2 linked regions of the Saccharomyces cerevisiae S288C genome follow. The protein of the gene in region 1 purifies or fractionates together with the protein of each later gene. This does not show direct contact. Each region holds a gene or a part of one and is shown on either strand. Other genes may lie near its edges.

What was found. Proteins that work in one complex are often made in the same cells at the same time.
Region 2: the proteins of ENO2 (region 1) and TDH2 purify together in Saccharomyces cerevisiae (affinity purification with mass spectrometry; 2 studies listed by BioGRID, with this or other methods). This does not show direct contact.

What each region holds. Positions count from the first base shown.
Region 1 is NC_001140.6:449,536-457,493, reverse strand, and holds ENO2 (phosphopyruvate hydratase ENO2), read right to left. Parts: upstream 6,168-7,958; coding exon 4,854-6,167; downstream 1-4,853. Other genes in the region: ROF1 (Rof1p), read right to left, coding at 1-903; FMO1 (N,N-dimethylaniline monooxygenase), read right to left, coding at 1,967-3,265; YHR175W-A (uncharacterized protein), read right to left, coding at 3,787-3,936; CTR2 (low-affinity Cu transporter), read right to left, coding at 4,053-4,622; YHR173C (uncharacterized protein), read left to right, coding at 6,341-6,679; gamma-tubulin-complex subunit SPC97, read right to left, coding at 6,688-7,958.
Region 2 is NC_001142.9:453,183-456,605, forward strand, and holds TDH2 (glyceraldehyde-3-phosphate dehydrogenase (phosphorylating) TDH2), read right to left. Parts: upstream 1,500-3,423; coding exon 501-1,499; downstream 1-500. Other genes in the region: MHO1 (Mho1p), read left to right, coding at 1-264; MET3 (sulfate adenylyltransferase), read left to right, coding at 3,057-3,423. UniProt on the Saccharomyces cerevisiae protein: Glyceraldehyde-3-phosphate dehydrogenase (GAPDH) involved in glycolysis and gluconeogenesis. Catalyzes the reaction of glyceraldehyde-3-phosphate to 1,3 bis-phosphoglycerate.

The sequences.
Region 1 (7,958 bases):
CATAGGTTGTGAGACCGTACGTCTCAATCCAGGCTGATAGTTAGGATTGTAAACACCAATTGGTTGTGGCTGGTGCTGCATATACGGGAGAGGTAATTTATTCTGTTCATCTATGGGTAAGAGATATTGTTGCTGTTGTCGGTGCTGCTGTTGGTGCATTTCTCGAGGAGCGTTATTGAAGGTGGTTAAAGGTAACTGAACTGCGGTCCTAACTGGAATATTTCCAGGATGGTTGTTATAATTGCTCAAGAGATCACAATAGCTCGGAGAAGATGATAAAGACCTGCGCGTTTTATAATTATGAGCTTTGGTTCTGCCTCTCTCATTATTTTTAGACGGGTTAGATCTGCCATTTCCTACAGCAACTTTTTGTAAAGCATCTAATAGTTTCTGTGAAGGTCGAAATTTATGGAAGAAAGGATTTTCTGAAGGTCTCCTCAAACTTCCTTGATGAATATCCTTTTCCGTATAGTACGCAATAAGATGAAATGTTTCCAGCTTAGTGCTGTCGGTGGGATCCATATTGAATTTTAGAGAAAATGTTTTTTTCAGTAGTCCAGTATAAAAATACTTCCTATGAGCCCTCTCGAAGATATTATACTCAGGTACATTATGCAGCGGTAGATCGTGCGTGGAACCCAGCCTATTATACTCTCTATATACGAGAAATTTGCCTGAAATTCTTGAAGGAGACCAAGAAAAACCATCTGTCCATCTTTTGATGCCGGATTTCTCTTCGTTGAAAACAAAAATGTTTCCGGGGTTGACTAATTCAACCTTTTCTGCATCATATGGCCTCCGTTCGATGCATCTCAAATTTCCATTGAATACGCCCTGGAAAACAAGGGCTAGATCTTGCTCGTCGTCGATGTACCCATAACAGGTAGGGCTGATATCCATCATTCTTACGCTTACTCGTCGATCTCCTTTTCCTATCTATTGTTTGATTAATTATCTTAATTCGTGGTTCCCTTTTTTCTCGCTTTATTTGTTTGTTTTGTTGAAGAAGGGCTTACAAGAATGTACGTATTAAATAATAATTCATACAAATAAACAGGGAATGATACATAGTAGTTCTCCCGCAGCAGCTACGTATGAATTACCCGCCTACCCGGTACTATAAAGAAAGAATAAGTGGGCGTCGATTATGAAGATTTACTAACTGCAATTATCATTTTTTTGATTTTCCTCAGTCCCTTAGGTGCGTTTTTGTGTTAATGCCTATTTTTTTTTTCTAGGCTTTCTTCTTCACTTCCTCTTTCCTCTTGAATTTTGAGGAATATACGACCGAGAAAAAGACAGACTACTTAAAAAGTTGCCAGAGTGATTAAAGTTCCGGGAACAAGGCTAAAATACGTTTACAACATATTCTTCCTTTTTTTTCCACATAAAAAGGTTAATAGTCATAGTCATATGTTAGCGTGATTTCAACTTAAAATTAGAGATTATTAGATAATTTTTTTTTAAATGACGGCCAAGAAAGTGAAAGTCTAAAAGGAACGTTTATCGCTTAATTTCTCTCTGCCTCAGATTCATACGTTGTTAAGATCTTTAAAAGGATGGCCTTTGCAGGATACTGAGGTTTATGCTGGCGCGCCTGTGCGGATTTTCCAGATTCAAAAAGAAAGTTTTCTTTTTTTTTTACATGGGAACTGCGTAGCCGCGAAGCACTGCAGGCCTTTCAGAGCAATTTTTGGCGCTGCCTTTTAAAAACTTACATTAAGGTTCGCTATTGCCGAAACGGAAGAGGCGGAAATTTAAGTATTCGTTAATTTTACGGTGGCGGTACGGTATATTCTGCGTAAGCAATCTGCGGACGGCCGGATTATTAATCAATGTTTGAAAAAAAAAGATAGCAGAAGTGAAGATTTCTTATTTTAACAGCGATAAGGTATATACATGAGGGAAACGAAATATTAAGCGGCACAATATGTGTTTTTTCTATACAAGTACATTCCTTTTTACGTTAAGTATGTGGCGCCGGAAGGAAGTATGGTGCTTTTTTTTTCTTTAGGGCTTGTGCGTGTTCCGCTAGAAGCACATTTCTTTCTTCTTTGTCTGTATAACTACTGTTTCTTAGATCGATCAGTCTATCATCCCATACAACTGGTTCGAAATGACCGACCCTACGTGGAATGCTATTCAGTAGTTCCTGTAGTTCTGCATAGTATTCCAGGTCCTTTCCCTTTGGGAAGTTGTGCGTTCCGCAGGCATTAGAGTCGAAAGTTGTAGTTATCGGTAAGCTTTTACAGAATACTTCGACCATAATAGCCGCCTGTAGTTCCGACAACGGGAACGGGATGACCAACTGCGGGGTCAAGATAAAGGACAGCGTAGGATCTTTTACATAGATCATGTGCTCCCACAAATTGTGCAGATTGACAGACGAGTGCTTGTCGCCAGTAACACCCTCACCTAGCACTTCCAGTCTAACGGAGGGCTCTATAAATGGAAAGCTGTAATAATAGCCTGTGGCGAAAATAATGTAGTCTATATTCTGAAGTACTCTTCCATCAGATAAAGTAACTGAACGATTTTTCCAATCGGCACTGTCTATTGTTTGGACAGTCTCGATTAACTTGGCCTTCAGTTGATTGCTCGCAGGCTCTTTTATACTATTATATACTTTCTTTGCAACGGTAGTTAGTTGGTTGGCAATATCTTGGCCGGAACTGCCGTTTCCCACCACAATAACGACTTTTTCACGGGCAAACTCGCAGTTTTTGAAATCCTTAGAATGAAAGGCGCCCTTATTGTCGAACCATAGATCGAGACCTGCGATATTAGTTGGTAGTTTAGGGACACTGTAGTGACCAGACGCAACAATAACGAAGTCAAAATCCGATTTAGTAGTCCTTAGTTCGTCTTTAGATGTTATCTCCCATTGAGAGTTCTTCTTCTTTAAGTAGGTAACTTCGGTGCTGAAATGGATGCTGATAGCATCTTTGTTGGCAATGAACGTTTTGTAATAGGCTTTCAAGTATTCCCAAATGTTTCTTCGAGACGGATATAAAGGGACGTTTTCCTCGAAGGGAAAGCCGCTAAACTGCATTAACTTCTTTGATATATTGGTTTCCAAATGGTCATACATGACCCTCCCATCACTTTTTTGTTCTGGATAATGCCAGACACCGCCAATATCGTAATCCTTTACAAATATTTCTATTTCAAAATTTGGAAGACTTTGCGAGAAAACTCTTGCAGCTGCCAACCCTCCTGGCCCCCCACCTATGATTGCCAATCTTTTTTTGTCATTCACTGTCATGCCTAGTTACTTCTTGTTATTTCTCGCTTCCTGCTTGAATTTTCTGTATTATTGTATTTTCGACTTGTATAAAAACAGTGGCCCATTTAAATACAGTCCCAAATAACGACTGCGTTTTTGCAGTGGCATTTATCCTTGATATGAGGCTACAGGATTATCTTGCATAATGGCTTTTCTCGGCAAAAAGATGTCTGGCGCTTCCTATGTAAAGGTAATATCATGTGATTAAGAGTGAAAAGAGGAATTTAAAAGGTAGAAAAGGGTTCATGGAATCTTTCATAAAGCAGAACATTAATACTTGCCGCGTTGAAATGAGGTGCGATTTCGTGTTGTGGACGGGACATTAAATTCATCACTTATATAATTAAATATAACGTTATAGTAGATCGTCTCAAAACGGTATAACAACCCGCGCCCACCCTTAAATAGTATTACTTTTGTTCAAGATTAGCTCGAATGGTCGCTGGCAAACTGTTGAAGAACTAGATCGTTTCATGATTAACATCTTGGCGACGCAGAAGTTAATGATATAGAAATAGTGGACTATTTTGATTACTGAGGCTGTAGCCAATAAACGATAACATAAAGGGGGGGATATATAAACTTGTGTCAAAGACTAGTAACGTACGAGTGCTAAATATTATACATGTAATGTTAACGTAGTTTATCATTATACTCAGTGGGAACAAATAAAGGGAAGGGTATGAATGAGGAAGAAATACGAAAAATCCCGGATAAAAACAAAATAGATACAAATAGTATCAAATTTGTAATATTTGTCACCATCTTAATGGCAGGCGAGGGAGCTGTCATCTATCTCAGGACTATACGAAGTACACCAGCTGTAATTACCCCATATTGCCCCACACACGACAGCTAACATTAACCAACCATTATAAGTCATGAATACAAGCATGAGCATGAATGAGAATCCCACTTGCAAACCATATAGAATACTATTGGACACTTTGTCGGCTTGGTTGATCTTGGTCAGAGATCTATTTGGTAACAATACTCTCTGGGATAATTGTCTCTTATGGACACAGTACTTTAAGTACTCATAGAGGTAGGCTAGACCAAAAATTGCTAAACAACTTAAAATCAGTCCAGGCAGGGTCTTGATATGCCACCATTCAAAGACGACACACGTATTCTTGTATGACCACGAAAATAGCATATTCATCGAACAGGTATCATCTCCATCTCCCATATGCATATCACTGTGGTCGTGGCCCGCATTTCCTTCCATCTTGTGATTCATGCTATCCATCTTTTTTGAGTATCCAATTAACGAAGACGTTACCAGCTGATTGAAGGTTCTCAAAGTGACTGTACTCCATGTTTTCTTATCATCCATGTAGTTATTTTTCAAACTGCAAATTCAAGAAAAAGCCACGCGTGTGCACCTTTTTTTTCCCCTTCCAGTGCATTATGCAATAGACAGCACGAGTCTTTGAAAAAGTAACTTATAAAACTGTATCAATTTTTAAACCTAAATAGATTCATAAACTATTCGTTAATATAAAGTGTTCTAAACTATGATGAAAAAATAAGCAGAAAAGACTAATAATTCTTAGTTAAAAGCACTTTACAACTTGTCACCGTGGTGGAAGTTTTCACCGGCGTAGACAGCCTTGTCACCCAATTCTTCTTCGATTCTCAACAATTGGTTCAACTTAGCCAATCTTTCGGATCTAGCTGGAGCACCAGTCTTGATTTGACCAGTTCTCAAACCGACAACCAAGTCAGCAATGAAAGTGTCTTCAGTTTCACCAGATCTGTGGGAAACCATAACACCCCAGTTGGCAGCGAAAGAGTCTTGAGCAGCCTTGATGGATTCAGACAAGGTACCGATTTGGTTAACCTTCAACAACAAAGCGTCAGCAGCCTTCTTTTCGATGGCGGTAGCAATTCTAGCTGGGTTGGTGACAGTCAAGTCATCAGCAACAATTTGGATACCAGCGGTCTTGAAGAAGTGAGACCAAGCTTCCCAGTCATCTTCAGCAAATGGATCTTCGATGGAGACAATTGGGTATCTCTTCATCAAGGAGTGGTACATGTCAGCTAATTCGACACCAGTCAACCACTTGGATTTGTCAGATTCTGGGTTCTTGAAGTCCAAGTCGTACTTACCGTCCTTGAAGAATTCAGAGGAAGCACAGTCCAAACCGATCTTGACCTTACCGTCGTGACCAGCAGCCTTGATAGCGTCAACAATCAAGTCCAAAGCTTCTTCAGCGGTTTGAATGTTTGGAGCAACACCACCTTCGTCACCGACGTTACCGGCAGAAGCACCGTATCTCTTCTTGGTCAAAGACTTCAAGTTGTGGTAAACTTCGGAACCAATTCTCATGGCTTCAGCGAAGGTCTTAGCACCAGTTGGAGCAATCATGAATTCTTGCAAAGCCAAAGCACCACCAGCGTGGGAACCACCGTTCAAAACGTTCAAGAATGGAACTGGCAAAACGTATGGAGAGGTCTTGGACTTAGACAAGTCAGCCAAATGTTGGTACAATGGGACGTTCTTTTCAGCAGCAGCGGCTCTAGCAGCGGCCATGGAGACACCCAAGATAGCGTTAGCACCCAACTTGGACTTGTTGGCGGTACCATCCAAAGACAACAAGAAGTCATCGACGGCCTTTTGGTCCTTAACATCTAGGTTGGCCTTGACGAAAGCAGCAGCAATGACGTTGTTGACGTTGTTGACAGCGTTCATAACACCCTTACCCATCCACTTGGATTTGTCTTCATCTCTCATTTCCAAAGCTTCGTGGACACCGGTGGAGGCACCAGATGGAACAATGGATCTGAAAACACCCTTTTCGGTGGTTAATTCGACTTCGACGGTTGGGTTACCACGGGAGTCGTAGACGGATCTAGCGTAAACTTTAGAGACAGCCATTATTATTGTATGTTATAGTATTAGTTGCTTGGTGTTATGAAAGAAACTAAGAAAAGAAAAATAAAATAAAAATAAAAGATTGAGACAAGGGAAGAAAAGATACAAAATAAGAATTAATTACAATTGCGTTTGCTATAAATACGTTTTTAACAATCAACTCTGGTAGGAAGATAATGCTTTTTTTTTTTATATATGCTTGGTGCCACTTGTCACATACAATTCTACAACCTTCGACAAAAATCCAAATGATAGTAAGATCAAAGCCAGAAAGCAATGGAGAAAAAAAATTAATGAACCACGATGAACCAAATGATCAATACAACCAAAGAAACTACCCTAGTGAGGTGTATGCTGACTTGGTATCACACTTCATGAATTTTGCATATGGCAAAGTCCACGAAAGTGGGCTTCAGAAAAAAGGCGTGCGGTGTGTAGATGTATCAATTAGTGGATGCCAGTTTTGGAACGGGATTCCACTTTCCGCAAGTTGGTGCACGTCGTTAGTGACATAACGCCGCGTTCATCTTTGGGAAGAAGCAGATGCTGAGCGAGGAGGTACTATAGAGTAAAGAACCCTTTCTATACCCGCAGCGTCGACACTTGAACTATCATAAAAGTCGAATTTTTCAGTACTTAACTCTTGAGTAAAGTTTATGAGACACTTCCGAAAAATGCTGGACGCGTTGCTAATGTATTCAATCAGCTTCTGAATTAATTCCAGGGCGGCATCTTCTTGGTAACCAACATCTTCCTGACCGCCATTGTTTGTACGATAGCCTTCGTTTAGTGTTTTCATCATCCCGCTTTTGTGTTTCTCATATAGTACGGGGTCCAGTTGACATAATTTTGCTCTCATAGATTTGATGAACTTGCAAAACTTATATACAATGTCAAATATTTGTAACTGTAGTGGAATCAAGTCAGACAAGCAACGATTTGTCATTATATTTGTTAATCCACCTTCTAGCTCATTTTGGATGGCAACGGCAAGAGTAGGATTTCTGTAGCACTTTTCTAATGAGTATACCTCTTTATCAATTACGTTTTGGTTGAAATATTCCATGATGGTTTTAATGAAGTGGTTCATCTTAGCATGCAGCACTCTCGTTGCCCTTACTATCCTCCTCTTCACAGTGTGCGAATAGCCTCTGTATTTCCAGCTGGGTGTTTTGTTTAAGTCCATCCAAGTCTCATCCAAAAGCCTTGAGTGGTATTGTAAAACTAGTTGGTAGCGCAGGATTATTTGGTATTTTATCATGCATGTCCTACTAATAATAATATTCAATGGATAAGGTATGTTGATGTCAAATTTTAAATGATAAATTGCGCTTTTTGGAGTATATAGTTCTAGATTGGATCCATGGTAGGCTCCCGTTCGTTCTTTGCTTAATTCATCAAAAAGAATGGCATTCATATTCTTGAAATTATTCGCGTGCATCAATGGGTCGCTGTCGTCATTTGCTGAGTTATTCTCAGGTACTTCTGGATAAATTTGGAGGTAGTGCGATAAGACTTGTGGAAGTGTTTCTGTATCGAACTGTATCATCAGGAGTTGCCTCATCAGGTTGTTTGGATTTTCGGATTGTCTCTCTAACTCAAAATTTTGTAGCAGCTTGTCATAGTTTGCATTATTATCATTCCTGTAGTGTTTGGTCAACTCACCCATATTTTTTGTTAGAAACTTTAAAACATTATGACCAGATTGATACCCAAGAAAAATTTGTTGCAAATGTTTTAATACATTGATCAAATCGTAACCTTGAAAAAATAGCTTTAAAAATATTTCATTGG
Region 2 (3,423 bases), on another chromosome or scaffold:
ATGGACAGATATGCGATGAAAACGCTAAGTGATACTCCAAATGGTGAAAGGTACGATGCTTGGAAACAATACTTGGAAATCACCGGAAACACCATATGCGGCGAAAAGCCAATTAGTGTGATACTAAGTGCTTTATCGAAAATCCGTGATGCCGGTCCTTCAGGCATCAAATTTCAGTGGCCTAATTATTCACAGAGTTCTCATGTGACAAGTATTGATGATAGTAGTGTCAGTTATGCTTCAGGTTATGTTACTATAGGATAATGATCACGGCTAAAACGGTCGAATGTAAGCATATATCTTTCGATTGTATAATTGTTCCCAAATACTACAGCATCTCAAGGAAAAAAAAACAAAAACTTCCAAAAAAATCGAATCCCTGAGGAATCTTTAATACATTTTCAATCTATTTAAGTTTTATAAACGTGTATATGAGATGTCATGAGCATGAATTATTAATAATAAAAACTAAATCATTAAAGTAACTTAAGGAGTTAAATTTAAGCCTTGGCAACGTGTTCAACCAAGTCGACAACTCTGGTAGAGTAACCGTATTCGTTGTCGTACCAGGAAACCAACTTGACGAACTTTGGAGACAATTGGATACCAGCGGCAGCATCGAAGATGGAAGAGTTAGAGTCACCCAAGAAGTCAGAGGAGACAACAGCGTCTTCAGTGTAACCCAAGACACCCTTCAACTTACCTTCAGCGGCAGCCTTGACAACCTTCTTGATTTCATCGTAGGTGGTTTCCTTGTTCAACTTGACAGTCAAGTCAACAACGGAAACATCGACGGTTGGGACTCTGAAAGCCATACCGGTCAACTTACCTTGCAATTCTGGCAAGACCTTACCGACAGCCTTAGCAGCACCGGTAGAGGATGGGATGATGTTACCGGAAGCGGTTCTACCACCTCTCCAGTCCTTGTGGGATGGACCGTCAACAGTCTTTTGGGTGGCGGTCATGGAGTGAACAGTGGTCATCAAACCTTCTTCAATACCGAAAGCATCGTTGATAACCTTGGCCAATGGAGCCAAACAGTTGGTGGTACAAGAAGCGTTGGAAACAATCTTCAAGTCAGAAGTGTATTTTTCTTCGTTAACACCCATGACGAACATTGGGGCGGTGGAAGATGGAGCAGTGATGACAACCTTCTTGGCACCAGCGTCAATGTGCTTTTGAGCAGTGTCCAATTCCTTGAAAACACCAGTGGAGTCAATGGCGATGTCAATGTTTAGAGAAGCCCATGGCAAGTTAGCTGGGTCTCTTTCTTGGAAAGTGGCGATCTTGTGACCATCAACGATGATGTGCTTGTCATCGTGGGAAACTTCACCAGCGTATCTACCGTGAGTAGAGTCGTACTTGAACATGTAAGCGGAGTAGTCGTTAGAGATGAAAGGATCGTTCAAAGCAACAACTTCGACGTTCTTTCTTTGCAAAGCAATTCTCATAACCAATCTACCGATTCTACCGAAACCGTTAATAGCAACTCTAACCATTTTGTTTTGTTTGTTTGTGTGATGAATTTAATTTGAAACTAAGTTCTTGGTTTTTTTAACATTTAAACAAACAATAATAAAATGAATAGACACACAAGAAAAAAACTATCTTGAATGAGTGCAACCTTTATATATTCTTCCAAACCTACAAAAAAATTGCAGGTCTGCGATCACTGGGTACTATCAAAACACATATTAGCATACGTATGTGTTCGTACGTGCGGTCCGCAAGGTCTTTGTGACAGCCATGACATGATTGGATTGAATAGTTCACTTCAGCTGTCACCACCAGTTTTAGGCCCTAACACATCAGTCGAGTTCCACTAGGCTTTGTTAGCCGTAGCTGCGTTGCAACAACTGCGCAAAACGCGCGACTTCCTGTAAATGCCGCAGATCACGTGGTAAAGAAAAGAAACAACAGGCCGACCCAGTTTCGTTGTTTCTTTTCATTATTTCTGGATGCTCTTCACAACGTATTTCATGACATACTTATTGAATTAGTGGAAGCCCAAAACATCATTACCCTGGAAAACTTAATTGACGTAAATTAACTTCAGTTGTCTTATGTTTTTTGCATCCTTAACTTTAGCCGCGCAGGGATAATCATATATGTCGAAAGAGCAACTAAACAATACTTAAAAACGTGTTTGAACTTTTACGAAAGGGTAACGACAAATAATCATTCACTGGAAAAACCAATAAACCATAAGTAAATGAAAAACTGTTTCAACCGATGTTGGTACTTTCCATGTCTTAAAAGAGTACAATTTATAAATTAATGAAAACACAGAAGTATTTAGATCGGCTCAAATGTTTTTGGACATTAAAAGATCTTGAAACTGAGTAAGATGCTCAGAATACCCGTCAAGATAAGAGTATAATGTAGAGTAATATACCAAGTATTCAGCATATTCTCCTCTTCTTTTGTATAAATCACGGAAGGGATGATTTATAAGAAAAATGAATACTATTACACTTCATTTACCACCCTCTGATCTAGATTTTCCAACGATATGTACGTAGTGGTATAAGGTGAGGGGGTCCACAGATATAACATCGTTTAATTTAGTACTAACAGAGACTTTTGTCACAACTACATATAAGTGTACAAATATAGTACAGATATGACACACTTGTAGCGCCAACGCGCATCCTACGGATTGCTGACAGAAAAAAAGGTCACGTGACCAGAAAAGTCACGTGTAATTTTGTAACTCACCGCATTCTAGCGGTCCCTGTCGTGCACACTGCACTCAACACCATAAACCTTAGCAACCTCCAAAGGAAATCACCGTATAACAAAGCCACAGTTTTACAACTTAGTCTCTTATGAAGTTACTTACCAATGAGAAATAGAGGCTCTTTCTCGAGAAATATGAATATGGATATATATATATATATATATATATATATATATATATATGTAAACTTGGTTCTTTTTTAGCTTGTGATCTCTAGCTTGGGTCTCTCTCTGTCGTAACAGTTGTGATATCGTTTCTTAACAATTGAAAAGGAACTAAGAAAGTATAATAATAACAAGAATAAAGTATAATTAACATGCCTGCTCCTCACGGTGGTATTCTACAAGACTTGATTGCTAGAGATGCGTTAAAGAAGAATGAATTGTTATCTGAAGCGCAATCTTCGGACATTTTAGTATGGAACTTGACTCCTAGACAACTATGTGATATTGAATTGATTCTAAATGGTGGGTTTTCTCCTCTGACTGGGTTTTTGAACGAAAACGATTACTCCTCTGTTGTTACAGATTCGAGATTAGCAGACGGCACATTGTGGACCATCCCTATTACATTAGATGTTGATGAAGCATTTGCTAACCAAATTAAACCAGACACAAGAATTGCCCTTTTCCAAGATGATGAAATTCCTATTGCTATACTTACTGTCCAGGATGTTTACAAGC